Schizosaccharomyces pombe: one gene and its partners. Each later gene encodes a partner of the first gene's protein in a complex. Each region holds a gene or a part of one and is shown in the gene's direction. Other genes may lie near its edges. The genes, in order: ufe1, bos1, sft1 and gos1.

Evidence for each region.
Region 2: ufe1 (region 1) and bos1 share a complex: the UniProt entries of both Schizosaccharomyces pombe proteins name them as parts of the SNARE complex.
Region 3: ufe1 (region 1) and sft1 share a complex: the UniProt entries of both Schizosaccharomyces pombe proteins name them as parts of the SNARE complex.
Region 4: ufe1 (region 1) and gos1 share a complex: the UniProt entries of both Schizosaccharomyces pombe proteins name them as parts of the SNARE complex.

The regions. Positions count from the first base shown.
Region 1 is NC_003421.2:1,000,143-1,003,955, reverse strand, and holds ufe1 (SNARE protein Ufe1), read left to right. Parts: upstream 1-1,622; 5' UTR 1,623-1,691; coding exon 1,692-1,811; exon of another isoform or gene 1,812-1,839; intron 1,840-1,974; exon of another isoform or gene 1,975-2,008; coding exon 2,009-2,243; intron 2,244-2,331; coding exon 2,332-2,936; 3' UTR 2,937-3,244; downstream 3,245-3,813. Other genes in the region: formin For3, read right to left, coding at 1-826; SUA5/yciO/yrdC family protein Sua5, read left to right, coding at 3,788-3,813. UniProt on the Schizosaccharomyces pombe protein: Syntaxin required for targeting and fusion of Golgi-derived retrograde transport vesicles with the ER.
Region 2 is NC_003424.3:1,923,147-1,927,067, forward strand, and holds bos1 (SNARE protein Bos1), read left to right. Parts: upstream 1-1,934; 5' UTR 1,935-1,955; coding exon 1,956-1,979; intron 1,980-2,020; exon of another isoform or gene 2,021-2,030; coding exon 2,031-2,127; exon of another isoform or gene 2,128-2,199; coding exon 2,200-2,786; 3' UTR 2,787-3,393; downstream 3,394-3,921. Other genes in the region: tos4 (transcription factor), read left to right, coding at 47-1,617; metallopeptidase Oma1, read left to right, coding at 3,593-3,921. UniProt on the Schizosaccharomyces pombe protein: SNARE required for targeting and fusion of ER-derived transport vesicles with the Golgi complex.
Region 3 is NC_003424.3:413,745-416,686, reverse strand, and holds sft1 (SNARE protein Sft1), read left to right. Parts: upstream 1-1,847; 5' UTR 1,848-1,886; coding exon 1,887-2,003; intron 2,004-2,057; coding exon 2,058-2,216; 3' UTR 2,217-2,442; downstream 2,443-2,942. Other genes in the region: bun107 (WD repeat-containing protein), read right to left, coding at 1-924, 1,002-1,281; rod1 (arrestin/PY protein 1), read right to left, coding at 2,813-2,942. UniProt on the Schizosaccharomyces pombe protein: Vesicle SNARE required for retrograde transport within the Golgi complex.
Region 4 is NC_003424.3:779,546-783,944, forward strand, and holds gos1 (SNARE protein Gos1), read left to right. Parts: upstream 1-1,815; 5' UTR 1,816-1,941; coding exon 1,942-2,490; 3' UTR 2,491-2,596; coding exon of another isoform or gene 2,597-2,791; 3' UTR 2,792-2,892; coding exon of another isoform or gene 2,893-3,159; 3' UTR 3,160-3,257; coding exon of another isoform or gene 3,258-3,599; 3' UTR 3,600-3,874; downstream 3,875-4,399. Other genes in the region: SPOM_SPAC4G8.09 (leucine--tRNA (Leu) ligase), read left to right, coding at 1-1,611; atp10 (F1-F0 ATPase assembly protein), read right to left, coding at 2,597-2,791, 2,893-3,159, 3,258-3,599. UniProt on the Schizosaccharomyces pombe protein: Nonessential SNARE involved in retrograde transport within the Golgi complex.

The DNA.
Region 1 (3,813 bases):
GGAATTTAAGGAGAAAAGTAGCCATGCGAGCTGAATTTAAACTTTTTGAAAGCACAGTCTCAGCAATAGTACCTAGAGCATTAAATCCTGGAACAGAGCATTTAGCTGAAGACTGATAACGACGACGGCAGTTTTCGCTGTTCAAACAGTGAAATAATGACTGTATTATTTGGGATTCAAGAGGTGTTTTAGATGCACGTTCAGGATAGTGACCCAGGTTTCTTAAAGCAGACAGTAAACTTTCAATACCATTTCTTTCAGCAAATTCATCCATCCACCAAATTGGTTGAATACGTAATTGAACGTTTAATAGCGATAAAAAATGGTAAGTAGGTGGGACTTCAACGACTTTTTCAATGAAAAAGTCTATCCTTTTTAAAATTCGATTATAAGTTGCTTCATCTAAAACAGTATGTTGGTTAGTAAGAGGAGCATCATCGTCATAAAAAGTGTAGCGCTTGGTTCGCTCGTTGGTAATCTCTTTAACAATGGTAGGTTTTGGAAATACACGGGATTCTAAAGGATAAATTTTACGTAACTGCTCAGTTTCGGATAAAAGTTTATCATTTATTTTTGTCTTTTGGTGATAAACAGTGTTGTAGCACATAACATATTCGGGGTCATTATTGTCATCGGAAGTAAGAGAGAGATCTTCTCGCGACTCAAAATCATTAGTACTTTGTAATTTAGAAAGATCTGAATTTTCAGATAGGGAAATCGTAGAGGGTGTTCCAATACGTTCGTTGGAAGAGGTAGAGTAACTGGAATTTCGAGATTGAATAGAACGACTAGTAGGGGGAGACCCTTCAGGCATTTTAGATGCCATTATGAATTAACATACCAAACTGGTAATTTGGTTGTAAAAAAGATACTAACGAAGCTGATTAAGGAATAAATGGTAAGGAAGAAAGCAATCTTTGGTGAAAGAGAAAATATATCGTAATGCAGAGCTTAAAGCTCCGCGGTAATGTCAACCAGATTTTAAAATCGTTTGGATGATTATATTAAAAAGTTGAAAGGAACGCAGGTATCAGATGTGATGCGAAAGTACAGCTTTTTAGAAAAAGGGGTAATCACTGTATATTGTATAACAATAAGCAAATACTGAAGGTTAAAATCAATTAAAGTTAATAATATTAGCCTTATTGCAATAAAATGCTTGATAAATATGCAAATTTAACGTTTCGAAGAGCGTTGGTAAAGGATGAATTTATGTCGCCCAAACCATGTTATTATATAGCAACCTCAACACCAGCAAAACAAAAACCTTATTTCTTCGAGATAAAGGACACAAACAACTTTTTTCAAGCTAAATTTTTAAAAATAACTCAAAAATTGTAAACAATTTGACTGCGCTCCATTCTTGTGAGGTGTATAACTGGTTACGTTTGTTTGTTTACTTGAAAATAGCTCATTTCTAAATACTTCAAAAATTGCGAAACTTTAGCTTAATTTCATTTATTGTAGACATCGACTTGAAGTAAATAAACAAAACTCGTACAATGGAGTATTTTTTTTTGCTTTTTTGAACATTTGTTACGAGCACCTTTAAGTCTCTCAATTCCGTTTACCGTGTCACTATTCATAAGGGGATATGGAATGCTACCATTTTCTAAACATCTGTTCTGTTAATTTGAAATTCATTTAACCCGGGATTTATATTTCTCCTTTCTTAGCATCTCAAATTCTGAATGACGAGTCGTACGAATGAGTTTTTTGGATTAACAAAAAATGGCGACATTGATGCAGCAAACATTCCTTTGAAAAGAATAAGTTATACGGATCCTTTTTTGGCTGAAGGATATAGAATTGTAAGTTTGAGGACGAGTTTTCTGTAATTATTGAACCAATCGGAAATTTAACCTCAACTCAATTGATCACTGTGGAGATGCGCTACCATAATATACGATTAATTATTGAGTGGGATTGGTTTAAATTTTTGACAGTATTAACTTTTGTTATTGCTTTCTATATCTAATCAGAGAGTTCAAATTGCTAACGTTAGCAGCATGAAACGATTGTTAATCTTCTAGTATTTTTGAAAAAGATTCGTGGAGCTTATTTAAAGGACAGAACATTTTCAAATGTCCAAAGACTCTCAAAACCTTTAATGGAGTGTTCACTTGAGGAGCTTTCAAAGCTTGAGCTAGATGAGGTTCAAAGGGATGAAATAGAACATGAAGTCTCTTCGGCAATCAGTAGCTGTATTCATCAAATAGCTAAGTTGCAGGAGATTGTGAAAGGTAAGCTTAAAATTTTAATACTGGTAAAATTATGTTTACTTAAATTATAAACAAAACACAGGGACATGCTTGCTAATTGCATGAGTAGAACAACAAAGTCAAATCCCTAAAAAAAGTGGTTGGCTGCAAGGTTTAAGAGACCCTAGTAAATTATCGAAAAAGGAAACTTTAGTCGCCCACCATTCATCTGTTCTGTGGTATCTGCAGTCTGAACTTTCCGATGTTTCTTCTGTTCTATATCATTTACAAGATCTGAGATTAAAACGAGGTCAGGAAAAGCGAAACATTGCTTCAGACTTTTTAACAAAAAATCCTACTGATGAAAATTCAGCTGTTGAGATCCCTGAATCTGAATTACAAACATTTTTTACTCAACAGCAACTTCAAGAACTTGAGCAAGAGAACGATGTTTTACTCCAAGAATTTGAACATACTATGGAACGTTTACGTGATACAGGGAAATCTTTGGCTGATATTACTAGACTTCAGTCGGAAATATCCGCTCAACTATCTATTCAATCAAGTGCGGCTGAAAAACTTTATGATGATGCCCTTAATGTCATGGATTCGCTGTCTGGGGGTAATCAACAACTAATCAAGGCCAAATCTAGAAGTAGTCGGACCGCTCGTCTGCTTTTTTGCATCTTTACCGTTATGGGACTTTTATTGCTATCCTTGGATCGTATTGTTTAATTCTCTTCATTCTTCTGAAACTTTATATTGTAACAATAATGACAAAGGAATGAAACTCGTTCTTCTTTGATCATGTGAAGTTCATGTCTATAATCTCATGTAAATATAATGTTTATGCTTATTCTTTCGACCATTCCTTGCACGCCCAAATAAAAATTCCTTATAATTCATCTTGGGTACGTTAGTTTTCCAAAAATTTTCTGGCCATTTACTATGAAATAGATTATGGTAAAATTGTAGCTTGAAAAATCTAGTATGATCGAATGTTTATAGAAGTTCACAATCAGTCTCGATTAATTCAAAGTCAAATTTGTTTGTTAAACATTCAGCTATATAATTTAGATTGATGCATTGGACATTAGCAAATTAACTAAATGCTTAGTCAAAAGGGATGTATTGGAAGAATATATTCTTACCCTGCCAAATAACAGAAACGATAAAAAAAAACCCACAAATAAAAACAGTAAGTGGGTTCTTTTCATTCGTGAAATCATTGTCGCGCTTACATTTCTTTTTTACAACCTCTGTAGCTAAATTCAAATTTTAAGTAAAGATCGTCGTCAATCACTACTCTAGTAAAATTTCTCAAACGAGATTTTATTTTCGTATTTAGAGTAAAATAATCTTGAGTTTTTAAATATATCTTCAACAATTATTTCTCTTACTTTGCAAGAGTCGACAACCAGCAATGATGCGCTTCAACTTAATAATAGCAATCAACTTCACCCTTCTCTCTATCAGCATTTAGCTTCTTCTTTCTAAATCAATTAACATAAAACAAGCTGAAGTATTACAATTTTATAGCAAAATTGGCCTCAGTAAGCCAGAAACTTAGGTTTTCTTCCTTGACAATGGAAACAAAAATTCAAACAGTTGA
Region 2 (3,921 bases), on another chromosome or scaffold:
TCTTTACCAATTGACTTGAATCTAACTTTTACTAATATTAATTTAGGCCAATTCGTCCTCACGCCTGAGCCATCTAGTAATACATTCTATGCCCCCTCTTCGCCTGCTTCTGCAGTGAGAAGAGAGCCACTTTCTCCAATGTCTTTTGTACGGATGCGTTCACATCGCGTTAATAAAATTGGCCGTTCTAGTCAACAATGTGACCATGTCCTATCCACGGTTGATAAAGCAATTTCTCGTGTACATGCTATTGTAACTTGTACACAAGACCGCATGATTATTGAGTGCGTGGGTTGGAATGGGATGATTGTGTCTGATAAAATGAGGAAGTCAGTATTCCACATGAAGAAAAATGATCGGATTGTCCTGGTAAGACCGAATTCGGATGCTTGTCCTGTACTGGATGTATTCGGTTACCGAGTTCTTCTTGGTTGGCCAAGTGATTCTGAAGATGAATGGGAAGGAAATCTTAATGCTAAAAATTATGAAGAAAATCGTGAACCTATGTCTCCTTCACCTCAAGAAGCTTTACCTTTGATGCCTTCATCACCTCCTTCTCAAGACTATCAAAACGATCAGAATCATCTCATATTGTACACTAATTCCGAATCCATTCCTAAGCTAAACTTGCGTAGTAACGAATTAGTATATCCTCCTCCATCCAAAGATTTGTTACAAAAGCTTCTTGCCTTAGAAAAAGATGGTCAGGTGGAAAAGTCTGATTGTTCCAAAAATACACAATTAAAACCATCTTTTCTCCCAAAGAACACCGACGATTTACTCAATGGCACTGATGATAATAACATCGTTTTAAGAGAAGTTAAGGTTTCTTTTGAGAACGAAAAAATCGAGAGTGATGATCTTGATAAAAATGAGGAAATTAGTGAAGGTGAAGAATACACTCCAATTGAAGAGTCAAAAGAGCCTATAACAGTAAGACGGGATAGCGTTATACAAATTGATGAATCGTCCGCTGGACTAACGGACGTTATCTCTGAACTTAATTTTACAAACCATAATGATGACTCAAAGAATTCTAATATTACAACTTCAAATGATTCCCCAGTGAACGAAGTTGAGCCAATGGCTCCTGAATTGAGTTCAGCAGTTGTGGAAAAGAAGGAACCTGAAGACTACGAAAGCATCTCTGCTGTTGATGAGAACACTAATGACAGTAATGAATCCCTCCCTTCTAGCCATGATTACTCAGAATCAACAAAAGAAAATTCAGCTCCCGATAGCTTATTATTAGGATTGGTTTTAGATGAATTGGTTTTCTCAACAACTTCAACTACTCCCCTTCCTGCACTTTCGCATTTATTTCCTTCCAATATGCCACTTCAATTAATTCAGGACAAGCTTCGAGACTTGGCAGCCAAGCACCCCTACTTTGAAGAGGTTAAACGTTACGGAACTGATGCTAATGGTGATCCATTGTGGAGTGAATGGTTTTATAACCCAGATGTGGATGATGATTTAGAACGGCGTATGAGATATGCTCCATTAATGAGACCAGTAAGATCCTCACGTCGTGTACATAAACAATATTATTGGAAAAAGCCCCGAGCTCGTCCACGTTCATCGGGACATTCTTCTAGGCGTCGTCGTCTTTCATAACGAATTGAATGCTGGCATCAGACACGACCCCTATAAAATTTCGCTTTTTGATATTGTATACATTTCGTTATTACGAATGGAATTATTAGATTTTTCAAATGGGGTTCAACAAAATACAATTGAACTCAATAGTGATTTACATTTAATATGAATTTTGGGTAAAAAAACGCATTCTTTTTTATAAAACTGTATTTACAATGTATAGAAATAAATTGCTACTTTAAGCTATTTACAATTTTGATATAGCATTCAAGTAACGTGTTACTTGCTACATGTGTTGTCATATCAAAGACAAGAAAATAAATTACCCTCATATTGGAACCAACTACGGCAAGAGAATGAGCAATACTCTTTATAATCACGTATGTAACTTCCTAAAGTTTTAGAAAACATATTAATTTGTATTTCGCTAGTGTACAAAGTTGTTTCAGTCCATTCAGCGAAGCCTCGATGAGTTAGAACGTGGTGTTCAAGATGAGAGCAACACTATATCGTTAGCTGGAATTCAGGGTATGTGTAGATGAATAATTATGGTACTTATTTTAACCAAGTTATTCATGAGACTAATGCAAATCAATTTAGGCCAGATCTCAGCTTCATTTCTGTCATTATCCAGATCCATTGATGACTACGATAGTATGGTCCAAAGGGAATTGGTTCCCGCTAAAAAAAAAAAAGCTACAATACGAATCCAAGAGTTCCGTCAAAAGCATGTTCAGTTGTTGGAAAAATTTGATGAGTTGAAGGCACACGTTCGTGACATTGCGCAAGCAAAAAATAGAAAAGAATTGTTAGGGAGGCGTGGGTATGTGAACTCTCTTGATAGTCCCTACGGAAATTCAACAACGGATGCAGAAATTGTGGAAGGGCCATCAGATCTAAGCAGACAAGATGGTTTATTAAAGGAGCATGATTTCCTTGGTCGTGCAGAATCTCAAGTTGACGAATTTCTAGAACGTGGGCGGATGATTCTTGGTGATTTAGTTGAGCAGGGAAGCGTTTTAAAAGCTACTAAGACAAAAGTACTGAATGCCGCCAATACCCTTGGCATTACTCGCCATACTCTATCTTTAATCAACCGTAGGTCCAAACAAGACAAGATTATATTTTATTGTGGAGCATTCCTTGTATTTGTCCTCTTTTACTTGATTTACAGGTGGTTACGCTAACATGTTCATGTCGTTGGCTTGTTTAAATTTACTATTCTTATATGATATGGGGCAGTACAACAAAATCAAAGATGATTAAAAAATTTGAAGAGCTTCTTGAGAGTTAAATTTTTTATTAATTATTTTTAAAAATAAGCTATACATTTTGCACTTGTTAGCTTCTCCTTGCAAGCTATTACTGTTGTGTTTTTTTCCTTCTGTTTATGACATTCCACTAATCACGCACTTATGGGCCTTTTAAATCTAATTCTTTCTTTGTGTTTTTTTAAATCCTTAGTTTGTCAATCAATTAATACCGTTGCGGTAATGCTTGACTAAAACACCTTCTCTTCAGGCGGTTGCTTTGAAATGCTTCAATTGTGATTCCATTTCATTTTATTTTAATATCCAAGAGAAAATTAACTTACCAATGGGCAATAGTTTTTTTTCCTTAGTTTCTTCGTAATTTGCTCAGTTAAGCTATGTATTAAAAATAATAAAATAGACTAAAACTAATTGTCATCACGAACCGTTAGTTGACGACTGTTTTACACTATTTTTATTGTCAACCGTTTTCAATGCAACTTAAGAATTTGTCGAAAGCCAATTGAAATTTGTATTCATATATATTAATTTTGTACCATATATATTGTAATAACTGTATTGGATGAAGTTAACTTTTACTAAAGAAACTCGAGACACGTTTGTTAAAATTAATATCGTTAGCGATTATCCTTTCGTATACCATAATACACCAAACTATCCTCCATTCTCATCTTTTTAAATATCTAGCGCCAATATTTAGTAATTCCTATAAGAATTATTTAATGTTTTTAAATAAGTATATATCAAACTATTCCAGAACCAGGGCTGTGAGCTGCGCTCCAGTTCTATCATACAAGAAATGTAGTTATCGAAATTTCAATGGTTTATTACAGGCAAGATTTCAAAGCAACAACTTGAGTTGGTCCAATAGAAACAGAGTGGTATATAAATCATTTCAGCCCAATCCTAGAGACAAGAGGTTTCAATGGATTTTTGGTGCTCTTATTGCAGGAGGAGGTGTATACTATTTTACACATTTGGAATACGTTCCTATAAGTAACCGTCGAAGGTTTAATGATGTTTCTTTAGATTTTGAAAAGCGAATGGCACA
Region 3 (2,942 bases), on another chromosome or scaffold:
AATCAGGGGTTTTGGTTAAATTGATGTTAGAATAGCTCTCAGTATGATGCAAATCATAATATATATCCTCAGCATCGTCGTGATATAATGTTGGACAGCTATGATTTCGTATGTCAGAAGAATGTCTCGAGGGACAGTCCGATGATACAGAAAGATGAGATGAGGTATGCTTAGATAATGCTGCTCCCACGTCCTGATTAAAGAGGGGCTCATCCTTCCAACGAAGAATGGAGCCATCACGACTAGTACTCCATATGAAAGATTGACGAGCAACAATGTCAGAGACAGGAGCATCCTGCTTGCATATTGCAGTACAGCTTTGGTTGTTAGGCTGGTTTCTTATATCAGTACGAGTAATCAAGCCTGAGCGATCACCAGCATAAAATACTTTTAAATCTGGGTGCTCAGAATATAATGCCCATACACTGTCTGAATGAGCTATGAAAGAGAATAAACATTTTTGCGCCCTTAGAGACCAAAGCTTTATTGTAGCGTCTGAAGAGGCTGTGAGAATTGTTCTGCCATCATCACTAATTAGAATATCTCGAACATTGTCAGTATGACCGACTAAATCTGTAATCCTTTTCTTGGAAACACAATCCCATAACTGAATGTCTTTTTGTAGTCCGCCGTTAGCAATTATGTTGTTATTCGCTGCCAGCGAGTAAACACCAGATCTTGGACCAACAACAAGAGAACAGTCAGGTAACTGTTCAAATCGCATAACTTCTTGACCTACGTTGTAGTCCCATACAATTATCCTTTTATCCAACCCACCCGAAGCGACTAACGGACTCTTGGAATATTTGGGAATGCTTACGCGCTTTACGTAGTCGGTATGCTCGCCAATTGTTGATAAACAAGAAGCATTCAAGACATGTGGCTTCCAGAGTTTCACCGTTGAATCAGAAGAACAAGATATCACTAATAAATGTTAGAACGTCAATTTCTATAAGGCTACCGCTATTCTCCAGAGATAATTAAATTTTTCAAAGGCTTACCTCCTTCGGAATCATGTGTTAAAGCTATATCATTTACCCAAGCAGAATGAGCCTGGATTTTGGCTAAGGGCTGGGAAGCTTTACCATAATCATACCCGATGTCCCAACCGAAAAGCTGTCCATCTCGGCCACCACTGTAAAGTGCTCTAGTAACTGGTGCTGACCCTTGTTCTGAAAAGTACCGACCTAGCACTAGACAATTAGCATCCAAACGGTGCCCTAGTTGATCGTTACAGGAATCAAGAACATAAGTAACCTTGTACCGTTTCCGAACACTCATGAGAACAATAAATGAATTATTAATCTCTTAAAACAATGCAATTATAAACAAAAAATCCAATTCAAACGTAAAAAATAAAAATTTATATTATATGATGTCGAATTCAATTTATTGAATGAATTCAGGTTCAAAAGTATTGCAGAAAGATAGTGTGTCCTGAGTCTAAAACGCAGCGGATAAATAAACCCTTTTACTTGGAAACAGGAAACAGTAATGGATCCAAATATTTTGGTAGCGAGTACCTATACAAATATATTATATGTTTTGACTTAGCGATGAATAGCAATTCCTCAAATAACTCAGATGTTAAAGAACGGATCCTACTGCTCATTAAAAATGGATGGAAACGATGAACTTCCAAACCATTTACCTACTAATAAGTAGTCCGATCGATATTGGCATTTGATAAAGCAATAATTAGGCGGCTGATGCTAAGAATTGTAGATAACATTATGTTTGAGCTCGACGAAAATAGAATCAAGTTAGGAGATTCGTTAAAGGATTTATCACCACGTCCTAAATGTCGTTAAATTTTGGTAGTACTCCAAGTGATATAGAAAGATGCTAACGTATGTACATTCATTTTTGTAAAAGTTATTTCTATAATGAATGATCAAAATGAGCGGCGTTTGGAAACTCTGTCTGGGCAGGTTTCTTCTTTGAAAAACGTAACCTACGATATTTATTCCCGTGCCAATGACTATACTCGAATTGATCGGGCTGTATGTAATTTAAAAAAAAAAATTTGAGTTTTTACCTAACCTGTATTATTATAGACTGAAAGCTTTTCAGGACTTTCAAATTCTGTTAAAAAATCCACCGAAAATTTCTTCCGTGTGGTTCGAAGTGCCGGACGACGAAGAATCATGACAATGGTGCTGGCAATCGTAGGGAGTATACTAATAATCTACTATGCATCCAAATGGTTTTTTTAACACGACATGAAAGCGAATGCTACATAAAGGAACGGATATAATGACATAACCTCCTGCTTCAAAATTATAAAATGTACAAGCTTTGAATTCTTATAGGCAATAAATTTATCGATGAATATTCTGAAGATAAATTTGAAAATATAAGCGCAGAATTACATGAAATATTCTTAACGAAATACTACTCCTTCCTCGAAATTTCAATAAGTCCACCATAAAAGTAAAAATAATAAAAAATTTAATTATGACTGTATATCCATATTAAGCTTGATATTCCTCACTTTTAGGAAAGAGTTTTAAGCAAAGAGACGCAGTACTAATTGAATAGAATCATGACATTGTGCCACAAACTAAGTATTCATTCACCTTCAACCGGCAAAAAAAAAAAAAAAAAGATCAAAAGGAAGGGCACAAAAATAAATAATAATAAAAATTTTAACACCTTAGCTTCACGTTCAAGCTTTGTGCATGCAGACCATGAGATGTTTGTATTGATTTAGGCTTTTTTAAGAACACAGCATTCAAATGTACGGAAGTACAGGTAATGAATACTCTTTTTCCGATGTTTGCGCAAAAATTTAAAAATAGTGCTCAAAACTTCAATTTCTTCTTGAAAATCCAGATGGAAGCATACGCGCCCGTCTTAAAGCGTCTAGTGCGTTTCGGTGACTTCCTACACGAGCTGATGTGGGCCTATGCGGGGCAGAAGACGATCCATTTGGATTGGAG
Region 4 (4,399 bases), on another chromosome or scaffold:
CCTTACGTTTTGGACTGTTATGGTACTGGCGCCGTTATGGGCGCACCTATTCACGACCGCCGAGATTTTGAGTTTGCTAAGCGTAATAACATAATATTTTCTAAAGAAAGTTGTATAGGTTCATATTTTACAAATGAGGGAAAAGAACTTTTGAATCATCATGATTCTTCGAATTTAATGGATATCAAGCAAAAAATGCTTCAGCAAAAGATTGTCAGTTACCTTGAAGAGAAGAAATTAGCCAAACGTGTTAAAAATTATAGACTCAAAGATTGGCTTATATCAAGACAAAGATTTTGGGGTACTCCTATACCAATGGTTCACTGCGAAACCTGTGGTGCTGTCCCAGTCCCTGAATCTGAACTTCCTGTAAAGTTGCCTGATCTTGATAAAATATATGAAAAAGGTACTTCGCCGTTATCAAATCTAGAAACATGGATGAAAACAACCTGTCCGAAATGTCATGGCCCAGCAACAAGAGAAACTGATACTATGGACACATTTGTAGACTCATCATGGTATTATTTTCGTTTTTTGGATTCTAAAAACTCGGAGCTTCCTGTAGGTTTAGCAAGTGCGTCCTCTTTGATGCCTGTTGATATTTATATTGGTGGCGTTGAGCATTCAATACTTCATCTTCTATATTCCAGGTTTTTTTCAAAATTCATGAAGGATATTGGGTTATGGAATGGTGATAAATATTTAAATGAACCATTTACTCAACTAATTACTCAGGGGATGGTTCATGGTCTTACTTATACAACGATGTCGGATGAACGAATACTTAATCCAAAAGAAGTCCAGAAAATTGGAGACGAATATTTTCTAATCAGTAATCCTAAAGAGAAAGTTCAACTTTCTTACCAGAAAATGAGCAAAAGCAAGCATAACGGTGTAGATCCGATACGTACTATTCAAAAATATGGCTCAGACATTATTAGAGCTTACATAATATTTTCAGCTCCAGTGGAAGGCGTACTCCTTTGGAATGAAAATGCAATAATGGGAACAAAACGGTGGTTAACCAAAATATGGAATTGTGTTCATCAGTTATTGGAACGTGAGAAAAAAATGTCTGATGCGATGAGACAAACGAAGTTAACTATTGTCGACGATCACAATAGCAGGAAACTCGAATCACAATATAATGAATTTATTTCACAATGTTCTGCTCATTATGAAAATGTATTTTCTCTCAATTTAGTAATTTCTGACGCCATGAAATTGACTAATAATATAGCAGATGCTTTAAAAAATAACAAAGTCAATATCGGAACAATTAAAGCATCTTTGGAAGTGCTTGTGAAATGTATTGCTCCAATAATACCTTGTTTTTCAAGTGAGTGTTGGTTGCTGCTAGGACATAATTCTTCCGTTTACTCTAACTGGCCCATTTCCAAAAATAAAAAGGAGAATATGGAGGAGCCCGTTACTATTCCTGTCCAAATTAATGGTAAGGTGAGATTTAAGATTGAAATGCCCAAACTCAATGATGAAAATGAAATACTAAATTTTGTGCTTGAGACGAATGATGGGAAACGTTGGCTCTCTAATAAAAAAGTTTTAAAATCTTTTGTGAAACAAAAAATCATCAGTTTAGTCACCGACTGAAAGTTGGTTGAGACACGAGCTTCATGTTTCAAAATAATTTTGATATTTACCATAACAATGCAATGTTGGTTGCGTAGTTAATTTAATGCTTAAAATTCATTTTGAATGAAAAATATCCTATCTTAATATCACAATGTTTTCTAGTAGCATAGCTTTTCTATCACTGGTATATTTAGGAATCTCTACGTAGTGGGATACTTCTCTAAACTACATACTAGTAAGAACGTCATCTGAAAGCCACATTAATCAACAGAAGAGAAACGTTTGTTTTAAAATCATAACTTAAGCTACTAATTTTTCTCTTATAAAAATTTGAAGATCTCTTTAGCCATGAAGTCTATGCTTTTGAGAGATTCGGTGAAAAAAGCGTCTCAGTTCCAAAGATCGTTGCACAGTGATCCTAACCAAGCTAAAATTCTGCTAGAGGAAAGAAGGAAGCTTCTTGAAGAAGCCAACTCTTCAGCTGACGAAAATGACTCGCATTCAATGGCTACTATCAAATCACATTTTGAAAGACTAAAACGAGATGAGCAACTTCTTAATGGCGTTTTGAAAAAATATGATGCGAAACAGGAAGTTCTATCTCCTGAAGAATTACGAGATGCACAAAACTTTTTAGAAATGCAAGAGGCAAACTCTTTAGACAATTCTATTAGAGGCACTAATGAGCTTCTTGAAAGAGCTTATGCTACGAGGGAAGACTTTGATTACCAAAATAGCGTCTTAGGAAATGTGACCAATCGCATAAACGGGGCGGCCATGTCAATCCCTTTTATTAATCAAATATTAAGGAAAACCTCGATCCGTCGAAGACGTGATTCTATCATTTTAGCTTTACTCATATCTGTCTTGATGCTTTTGTTCCTTTTTTTTCATTAAGTTGCATGTTTTATGAAACGTTTATGAAGGGCATTGATCCCGCCAAAGTTATGAATATGTCATAAAGGTTTAATTAAGATGAAATAATATAAAAGTCCTTTTACTTTTAACCAACGTTTTTATTTACCAAAAACTTAATCGCTGTCTTCAGGTTTTCAATTTCGACATTAGTTGGATCACCGGTTCCAAGCCAGCGAATTTTGCAGGAATCGTCAATTAAATACACATTTCCAACAAGTTTGTTGTTCCATCCTATTTCTGGGAAACTGAACTTATTGTCGTATGCTGTAATATATTCATTCTGCTAGTTAGCAAAAGGTTATAAATTTTGGAAGTAAATAAATCTATCTTATCAAGCGAACAAACTTGTGAGCAGCTTGGACAAATAATGCGTCTACTTACCCAGCACTTTTCTGGTATTGATCTTTTAACTTTTCCTATAAATATCTTCTGTAGCCAATATTTTATTAGATTGGATTGAACATTTGCATAACGAACTGGCAGATAATCAAATGGAGCTAGATGTTGAATCCAATTCCTACATTGGTTTTCTCCAAACGCGTTGCTAAATAATGCAAAGAAAAAGGGCGAGCCTTGCCAATCTTTATATAGCTCTTTGTACTGATTTCGTAATGACTTCCCATGAAAGTTGTACATCCATAAGGCGCTCTAAAACGTGTCAATATTTTTAAGCAATAAACTAATTTTTTTTCATTCTTATTTGAAATTTCCAGAAATGAATATTACTTTTAACCAATTGTTCATACCTTCTCCTTAAATAATCTTGGAGGACTGTAAAACAGCTTACCATTAAATCGACGAACTTCGTTGAAATCTTGAATAGTTGATCTCTTCATTTCATTCAGCAGCTCCTTCTGTCTTTGCTCAGGAGAAGATGTACTCGCGGGTTTGGTAAGTTTTTCCCATAATGTTGGCTTTTGGACTTCAGAAAGCATCGTCGGTTTTACCAGTAAACCTACTGGAATGAGAGCAGATGGGGCTTTTTCTTTTGTATCATTGAGACTTTTGGTGCTAAAAGAACGCAACTTGAACTGATGCTTAACAATCAACCTCGGAATGACTAAATTTTTTAAATAATTATATGCCATGTTTACCAATTATAGGTAGATTAAAGGGGAAATAATCTTTAATTTATTATGCGATTTAAGAAACGCAAGGATGAACTTAATTATTATTATAAACTTCAATAGATAGGTATAGCAGAAAGGAGCTGTTGTTACAGGTGGAAGTACTCTGACGTTAAAAATTCATATCTTAATTTTCATTTTGGTTTTTTAATTTGTTTTTGGACATTAGTATATATCTACGATAAAGGTTTTCTCCTTTTAATTTCATTGTAATATAATTCAAGACTAAAATTGGCTTTTCATTGGATTGCGAATCTTTCATTGAATACTATCTTTTCAACTTACATTGAACGTGCATGTAAGGATAGGAAATGGAATGCTGAGATAATGAACAATACAAACCTTTCTAATTAATTCAATGTTTAAAGCAAACTCATTTAGCGAAAAATTCTAGCTTATTAAAACAGCTGTCAACCAGGGCGTAGAGATTACAATATAAAGACCTTACTTACCCTTCTTAATGTACTACAATACAAAATCATAGTTAAAAGAGTAGCTTTTTACGTCCCTGCCGACTGTTTATGTAGATGCATGAAAAACTATGAGAATATAATTTAGTAATCGTTTATATAAGCTAATACGCATTAATATTATATTAATTCATAATGCTTAAAAATCAAAGCAATTTCAATTTCCAAGTGGGTTAGAAAGTACTAATGGGGGGTCCATATTCTCTTTAAGACATTACTCACTTGAATAGCAATTATGACTTCGTCTACTACCTCAAGTACTATGTGGGGGGGTTGACCACTTATGAAAGT